Drosophila melanogaster: one gene and its partner. The protein of the gene in region 1 interacts with the protein of each later gene in a pairwise test. Each region holds a gene or a part of one and is shown in the gene's direction. Other genes may lie near its edges. The genes, in order: CG9890 and CG11076.

The links.
Region 2: the proteins of CG9890 (region 1) and CG11076 interact in a two-hybrid assay, tested with the Drosophila melanogaster proteins (2 studies listed by BioGRID).

Annotation. Positions count from the first base shown.
Region 1 is NT_033778.4:23,062,200-23,066,118, reverse strand, and holds CG9890 (uncharacterized protein), read left to right. Parts: upstream 1-1,858; 5' UTR 1,859-1,897; coding exon 1,898-2,144; intron 2,145-2,198; coding exon 2,199-3,310; 3' UTR 3,311-3,372; downstream 3,373-3,919. Other genes in the region: PPO3 (prophenoloxidase 3), read right to left, coding at 1-82, 144-239, 304-1,290; DCTN3-p24 (dynactin 3, p24 subunit), read left to right, coding at 3,609-3,919. UniProt on the Drosophila melanogaster protein: DNA binding protein which is involved in the positive regulation of both basal and inducible transcription.
Region 2 is NC_004353.4:1,028,884-1,032,842, reverse strand, and holds CG11076 (uncharacterized protein), read left to right. Parts: upstream 1-1,867; 5' UTR 1,868-2,032; coding exon 2,033-2,872; 3' UTR 2,873-3,132; downstream 3,133-3,959. Other genes in the region: ATPsynbeta (ATP synthase, beta subunit), read right to left, coding at 890-953; mitochondrial inner membrane protein MPV17, read left to right, coding at 3,594-3,959.

The DNA of each region.
Region 1 (3,919 bases):
CGCCCGCGTACTCCAGGTGCTTGTTGGTCGGATCGTGTGAGTAGGCAATCAGTATGTGCCCCATGTTGTGGAAGTCGCCGTACTGCAGATGGAAATAATATACATGGAAAGGTGATCTACAGATTATCACTTAGATTCCTTACCAGCGTACTGTTGGGCGTCAGATCGGAAGCCTCGATGATGTTGCCCAGGATGTCGATGCCCTTAGCGTCATCCAGCACGATCTTTTCATTGTTCGTCTAAAAAATAACCAATTAGTTGTTGGATGCATGTACTCCTGGAATCGGAGAGCTCCCCACTCACATCCAAAACGTAGCCCTGATGGATGGCCTCGTAGATGCGTTCGCGCCAGCGCTTCATATCATCGATGCCAACCCTCAACTGGTTGTTAGGCCGGTCCACATCGCTCAGCCGGGTGTTATCGAAGCGCGGAGGATACGCCCTACTGGCCACCAGCGAGTCCATCTTGGGGAAGTAGCCCTCGGCAATTGGTTCGTCCAGGTTGTTGAACGGCTGCACCCGGGCCATGTGGTTGCTCAGCCGCTCGGCATTGTAGCGGGCAATGATCTGCTGGTGCATATAGTAGAACAGCTCGCCACGACGGTCCTTGTCCACGATGCTGCGGTCGGGCGCCTCTATGGGATAGACCAGATGCCAGTGCCAGTGGTGCAGGTTGACGCCCAGGTCCTCGCGGAAGTACCACAGCCGGTGCTCCACATCGAGATCGGAGGCGGTGTACTTGACCGAACTGACGACGGGCAGGCGGGCGGCGGAGCGCTCCACCACAAAGGACTCCTCGCGCATGCTGCGAAGCATCTTCGAGTCGATAAAGCGATCCGGGAAGGTCTGCGCAAAGGCGGGCAGTTCGAGGTCCTTGGTGTCCGGACGGTGGAGCAGGGCCACCGACAAGGCGTAGTTGAAGAGCACCGGATTGACGCGATCCCTGGCGTACACCGCCACGCTCTGCAGCTCATCCACGGTCTGCATTTTGGTGAAGATCTCGATCAGGTGGCTGGCCATCTTGCGGTGGGACTTCAGGAAGATCGAGAACTGCTCCGAGCGGCCCAGTCTCATGGAGCAACTGAGATCCGGTATGGCGATCTCCTTGACTTGAACGTTCTTCTCGGACGCGCTGCTCACGCGCCGCTGGACCTTCTTGCACATCTGATTGTAGCGATCGGTCACGTAGGAGTCGGGCACGTCGAAGACGGTGCCATTGCCACCCTTGTCCATGAACACGGGCTCCGTGGGATGATCGAACAGAAGGAGCAGATTCTTCTTGTCGGCCATTTTCGATGGATTCGCGATTAGGAGGACCTTTAGCGAGCAGTTGCTGATTCTCAACTGCACGTCCCCACCCAACTATCAGCTCCTTTTATACCCAGCAGCCGAAATGCCCTATGGTTACATGGCGAACATCTCAAGTTCGTCAACCCCAAAAAACAATCTAAAATATTACTAACTTAAGAATTTTTAACTATTGCCATAGTATAAGCATTGAATCACAGAGTTCCGAAAAAAACATTTTTAACCGATAAGATGCTGCTGATTCATCATAGTCTGTTGAAAACTTAACGAACAATGTATTTGTAAGTTTCAGAATTTTAATTCACAGATAAGTTACAAATATTTGAATCGTATAATATCCTATAAGGATATTAACATTTCCAGTACGTGTTGTCTACATCGAAAATACTGAATATCATTTTTTGATTATTTAGTCTTCATAAGACAGTTGTAAGTATTTATTTAATTTTTTTTGTGCATTAAATTAAATTCATTAAATTTTCAATTGTTTCCAGTGTACGTCATAATTAAGCTTATCTCGCAAACAGTATTTTGCCGCTAAGCACCTGCGGTCACACTTATTCGTGGAGCACCAGGAGAACGTAAACAAATGGAGCACGAGGTGGCTGTTTCAGGAGGGGATTCCTCGCTGGAGGAGATCACTGGCAGTTCGAAACTCAAGCCCTCCAAGAACACGGCCATCAAGTGCCTGAAATGCGACAAGGTGTACATATTTCCGTCAGATAAAGATGACTGCCTGGCGCATTTGTATATGGAGCACCGACTGGTCATCGCCGATGTGGAGGATATAGCGCTTCTGGAGGACTACCTCCAGTACTGGGAAAAGGAGTTTCACAGTGAGAGAATCAGCAACCCTACCCTGAAAATTTAATAATTGTTACCCATTTTAGCCCACGAATTCGAGCAATATTGCACCACAATGTTCCTGGATCAGCTGCCCGATGGCAAGTACGCCAAGAACGAAAAGTACTACCTGCTGTGTGACATCCTGCCCCAGGACTACGAGCTGCGGCGAAGGTTGAAGGAGAAGCGCCTAAGTGAAGCCCTGGAGCGACATCAGTTCGAGCTAACCGACCGCACCTTCTCCAAGGAGTGCCTTTTCTGCAGGGCCATCATCAAGGGATTGAGGGCGGACTATCTGGACCATCTGTTTGACAAGCACTTTCTGTTGGTCGGCAAGCCCGAGAAGCTGGTGTATGTGGACGAACTGCTGGATCACCTGGAGGAGAACTTGAATCGGTTAATGTGCCTCTACTGCGAGAAGATCTTCAGGGATCGGCCCACGCTCAAGGAACACATGCGCAAGAAGGGCCACAAGCGGATCAATCCGAACCGAAGGGAGTACGACAAGTACTTCCTTATCAACTACAATCGTGTACCAACGGCCCCCACGCCCCGGAAACAGCACCTCCAAAAGCGAAGACGGGAAACGGCATCCGTGTCCACAGTTGCTGATCCTGAAACCGGCAGCGTGGACTTCGACAAGCACTTCGCTCGCCCTGATTCGGATGGCGAACACGATTCGGACTGGTCGGATTGGGCGGCAGATGGTGAGCCTAGCTCCATTAAGTGCCTGTTTTGCCACCATCTCGGCGACAACTTCACCGCCCTCAAGAAGCACATGCACGAGGTTCATCGCTTGGATTTCGAGAAGGCCACCAGCTCTCTGAACTTCTACCAACGCGTCAAGGTGGTCAACTACCTGCGCCGCCAAATGTGCCTGCTGCGCTGCGTGACCTGCGATCTGCAGTTCGACGAGGAGGAGCTGCTCGTGGAGCACATGGCACAAGAGTCGCACCACGGAATCGGCGATAAGGAGAGCTGGGACAAGCCCGAGTTCTTCTTCCCGTACATCGAGAACGATGGTCTGCTGTGTGTGCTGGATGATTCCGGAGGCGATGACCCGGACGTCGATACGGTGCGCATCATCTCCGAGGATAGTCTGGCGCAGATCAACAAGGATGCGGAGCGGTTGTCCCTCGAGAATTTTAAGCTGTTGTAACTGAGATTTTTGTATTGTACAGTTTACGTTTAAAAGAAACTAAGTAAATAGCAATGGAATTTAAGTGTGTACTATATTTATAGATACGTATGCACCAAAAACTTTATGCAGAGGAGCTAAATATTTTATTTAAATACCATATTTTTTAGTCCGCATAAGGGTTAATTCGTTCTGCTTAGCGAGTACAAGAACCTTGCCACCAAGCTAACGTTGCCACCTTTTCGTTGGACATCGATTGTTTTGCAGACTGACATCATTCCCATCAAAACGAACAAAATAAAGAGAAATTCAGCGAAAAATGGAGGCACTGGACATTCTGGAGAAGCGCATCGATGCCCTGACACGAGTCCTGGGTCCGGTCCAGGACTCTGAGGTGGGCGAGGGCGTGGTCGACGCCCTGTGCTCGGCACACGCCATCCTGGGCGAAGCAACCACAGGAAGTGCTGCACTGCAGCAGTGCGTGAAGAGATCTGACGAGCTGGAGAAGTACCTGGACCCCAACTTCCTGGAGGAGCACCAGCAGGTGCGCTCCAAGGAGGTGTACCTGCAAGCCGTGGCCCCCGAGCTGCACACGCAGGCCGAGCAGCTGGAGAGGATTAAGCAGCTGGA
Region 2 (3,959 bases), on another chromosome or scaffold:
TTAAAGAAAACTAGCTTACTTCTTGAGAATAATTGTAAATAAAAAATCAGGACTTGTCGAAGGCCACCGCAGCAGGTGCTTGCAAAAAAATATATATGTATCTAACATTGTATTAGATGCTTGATTTGTTTAATGAATGAATAAAACACATTCGGCTGATGATCCTGATCATCGAATAAAATTTATGGGATCGGAAAAGTTTGCTAATTTATATTGCCAGCGTATGAAAAGGTTTTCTTAATACCCCATATGTAAAGCTAATTGGTATCATTTTTTAATAAAAAGTACTATCAGTTTATTGATTTTCCTATCACTAGATACCAATATATACAGATTTATGTTATACTTAACGAAAGTGATACTAGTAGAATACATCATCGTAAAACTTAAACAGTAACAATTTGGGCATCAATATCGACAATTTTTAATATTATTTTTTAAGATAATGATGAACAATTAATATTATACTATTAATTATTAATTTAATTTTTAAGTAACTTTAATTTTCAAAATACTTTGTGAAGAATTCAATTGCAATATAACGAAAAAAAAATTTATTCAATTTAAAACGTCAAACAATATCGGCATACAATATATGTACATACCTAGTTAACTTACAGAAAGACGTACACGCAAATGTCTGACTAAAAAAATCTTTTTTTTTTTCAAAAGTCGTTTAAATTGAGTACTGTTATATATGTTATAAAACAGAAGTAACCTTAAATCATTCAAAATTGTTATGTAATATTTTTTTTCGCTCGTAACATTTTATTGAACGATAGGTTATGTTCGACAATTGCGCTATTAGCCAAAGCACATATTTTGTGCTGAACTTCGCAATTTAATACAATTGTTATCAATTAAAAATTTTTATTTTTGTGCTACTTACACAATTGCCCCAAGAATGGCAGCAAATTCTTATCGGCTTTAGATGCAGCACGTAACGCGAACATTTTTCTCGAACTAACTGAGAAGTGTGCGGGCGAGCAGAAGTCCTAGTGATGAGCAAATCGGTAGTCGCGATATATTGAGTATTTACGCTTCCAAAACATATCGAGGTTTTAGTATTTTTGCGTATTCAGACCATAATGTGGACTTACGTTGTTGTTACCGCACCAGGAGAGTGTCCGAATGCCACTTTTATATATACACAATGAACTGTAACTGTTGTGGTTGCCCGACACTAACGACTGATACACCCATGAAAAGGTGGTTTAATGGATTGCAAGCTGATGTGGCTGAGTAGAGGTAACTGCACCAACAAAAATAAGTAAAACAAGAGAGAACGCAAGTACGCAAGAGAAATTTAAATTATTTTATGGCTTATGGATAGAATTTGGAAAATATATGACAAAAAATGATATTAATAGTGGTAGGCGTGACAGTTTTGGGCGGCGTGTGGGCAATAGATTGTGCGTTGCAGCATCGATGAAAAAACTTGCCCTGATTCTTCGTCTCTGGAATGTTAAGTCTCAACTTGTTAAATCACTATCTAGCTTTCGTAGTTCCTGTGATCTCGACATACAGAGGGACATGTGTAGATCGACTCGGCTGGTGATCCTGATATGAAGATGATGAAGAAGATATGGTTGAAAAAGCGAGTAAACAATTCTTAGTCAGTCTGATTGGCAATTAATTTTTGTTTAAAAGATATCAAAAGCAAACAAAATTTTTCGATATTTGTCTTAATACAATTTTTGTCGGCTTGTCTGCCTGAAGAAAAGCGTTATTTTAAAACCTAAAAAATAAATTTGTTTATGTTAAACTGGTTGGTATGGGAAACTTAGGGTTTATTACTTTTGCTAAGCCCTTCCATTTTAGCGAGAAACAGCTATAAACATTTCCTTCCTACCCATCGCTAAAATCTAATAGTTTATCTAGGTTAGGGGTGTTTACGCTTACAAACACATAACTACAATATTTACTCCTTCAAATCATTTTAAGTTATCGATGCATCGATATTTCCCTTGTATTTTTCCACCTGTACCACGTGTGGTCATTTTCTGCAATACATTGATTTCCCCAACGCTCAATGAAAATAAGTAAAAAACTCTTTTCCCGCCAGGAGGAAAAACCTCGGAGCCAATTTCTGGAGGAGGAACAGTACGTGAACCTGACCTCAGGCGCGGCTGCTCGTGAGTGCTGCGGGGATGCTCTTTGGGATTTCGATGGTCAGACCGACGAAGCCTGGCTGGTCCAGTGTCCCAAGGGTGCAGATCCACATCTGCTAGTCGGCAAGCGCATTAGGCTTCCTGGCAGGAAGAGCGTGGGCGATCTCCAGGTTCGTGCCGTCAAAAACTCGACGTTACAGAGCGAGGCACTGGGCTATTTGAGATCTATGGGTCCCTATGCCCTCCGGAAAATTCCCTTTGTCGGCTATGTGGTAATCAGCAAGCGTCTATATGATAAACAACCGCTACCAGGTCAGAAGGAACATACAATTCAAGCTGATCTAACGCTACCCAAGTACCTATTACGAGAACGACATCCGTTGTTCGGGCGCAGCTACAAGCAACGCATCCAATTACCGAAGATGATTTCCACATCTCTTAGTCAAGCAGACGAGAAATTCTTGGAAGCTACTGCCAAGCTTCGCAGCACTGCTAACTACTACAAGATCCGGAGCAAGCTGCACACCACCACACAGACGCTAGAACAAAAAGAGGACGATGTGCGACAGTCGGTGCTTACCGGTCGTACGCCGCAGTTCATGAAGGAAACAATAATCCCGGATCTATATAAAGATCTCTTAGACGAAGAGGACATCGAGAAAAATATAATGAACCCAGCAGAGGAAGTTGGTCCTGCCAAAATGCGCAAGAAAAAATTTAATTCAAACGGTCACAAAACGGGAAATGCAGTAGGGAAATAGACAAAAGAAGCTTAAATTAAATGAAAGCAACGGCCGCTAATGACCTGGACGAAGTAATTGCACAAGAAGGCTTAAAAAAGTCGAATGGAAACCATTAAGAATTAGAGTTTACTTAAGATAAATTCACATACTTACGTAATTAAATAAAAATATGTAACGATTTGGATTATAGATTATCACATATAAGCTGCATAAATTAATGTAGTCATTTAATAACGAAATAAAATTGCACTTTGTCAAGGCGTGTTCACAGCACTATGAACAGCTGACGTTAATATCAGTACCTTAATAGTTGCGGAGAAAGAGCGGTGGTTAAAGTTAAGATTTATATTTAAAAGAATATTAAGAATACGCGTTGCGCATGTTCCGAAAGAGATTTCTGTGCTAAAACAGTTCGATACTTAAAACGTTTAAGTTATTTTACATTACATTACATTAAATTGCATATTGAACGCAATTTAACGTTTTCTCATTCGGCATGTAACAATTAAAAGGACTCACGCGCGTTAAAAAGTTGAATACGCTAGCATAATTTAATTTAAATAATTATTCAGAGTTGCCAATTTTTGTCACTTCAGCAATTGACACCAATCACTTTGCGATTATTAGGCAACCCTTTAAAACTACACGAACAACAGCAAATCGATTTCTCAGTTGTGTTTTAATTGCGTATTTAAAACAATTTGGATCGGGCTATGAATGGAACTGATCTCTGATAAGGATGAAGAGACTTAAAGCGTACCTAAAGGATGGCATCAATGTGGCGGCGGTAATGTGTCTGGGCGATACTATATCCCAGTTCTTTTTTGATAAGAAATCGTTGGACGAATGGGATGCGGGGCGAACCCTCCGTTTCGGCATCGTTGGACTGGTGTTCGTTGGCCCAACTTTGCGCCGGTGGTACCATTTTTTGGAGTCCCGGGTTCCCAAAACCTACTCGCCAATGCGGCGGGGCGTTACCAAAATGCTGGTCGACCAGACCCTTTTTGCGCCACCCTTTACCATGGCCATGTCTTTTTTGGTGCCACTCTCCAACGGAGAGCCCATCGACCGAATCCGGCAGCGCATTCTTGATAGCTACCTATCT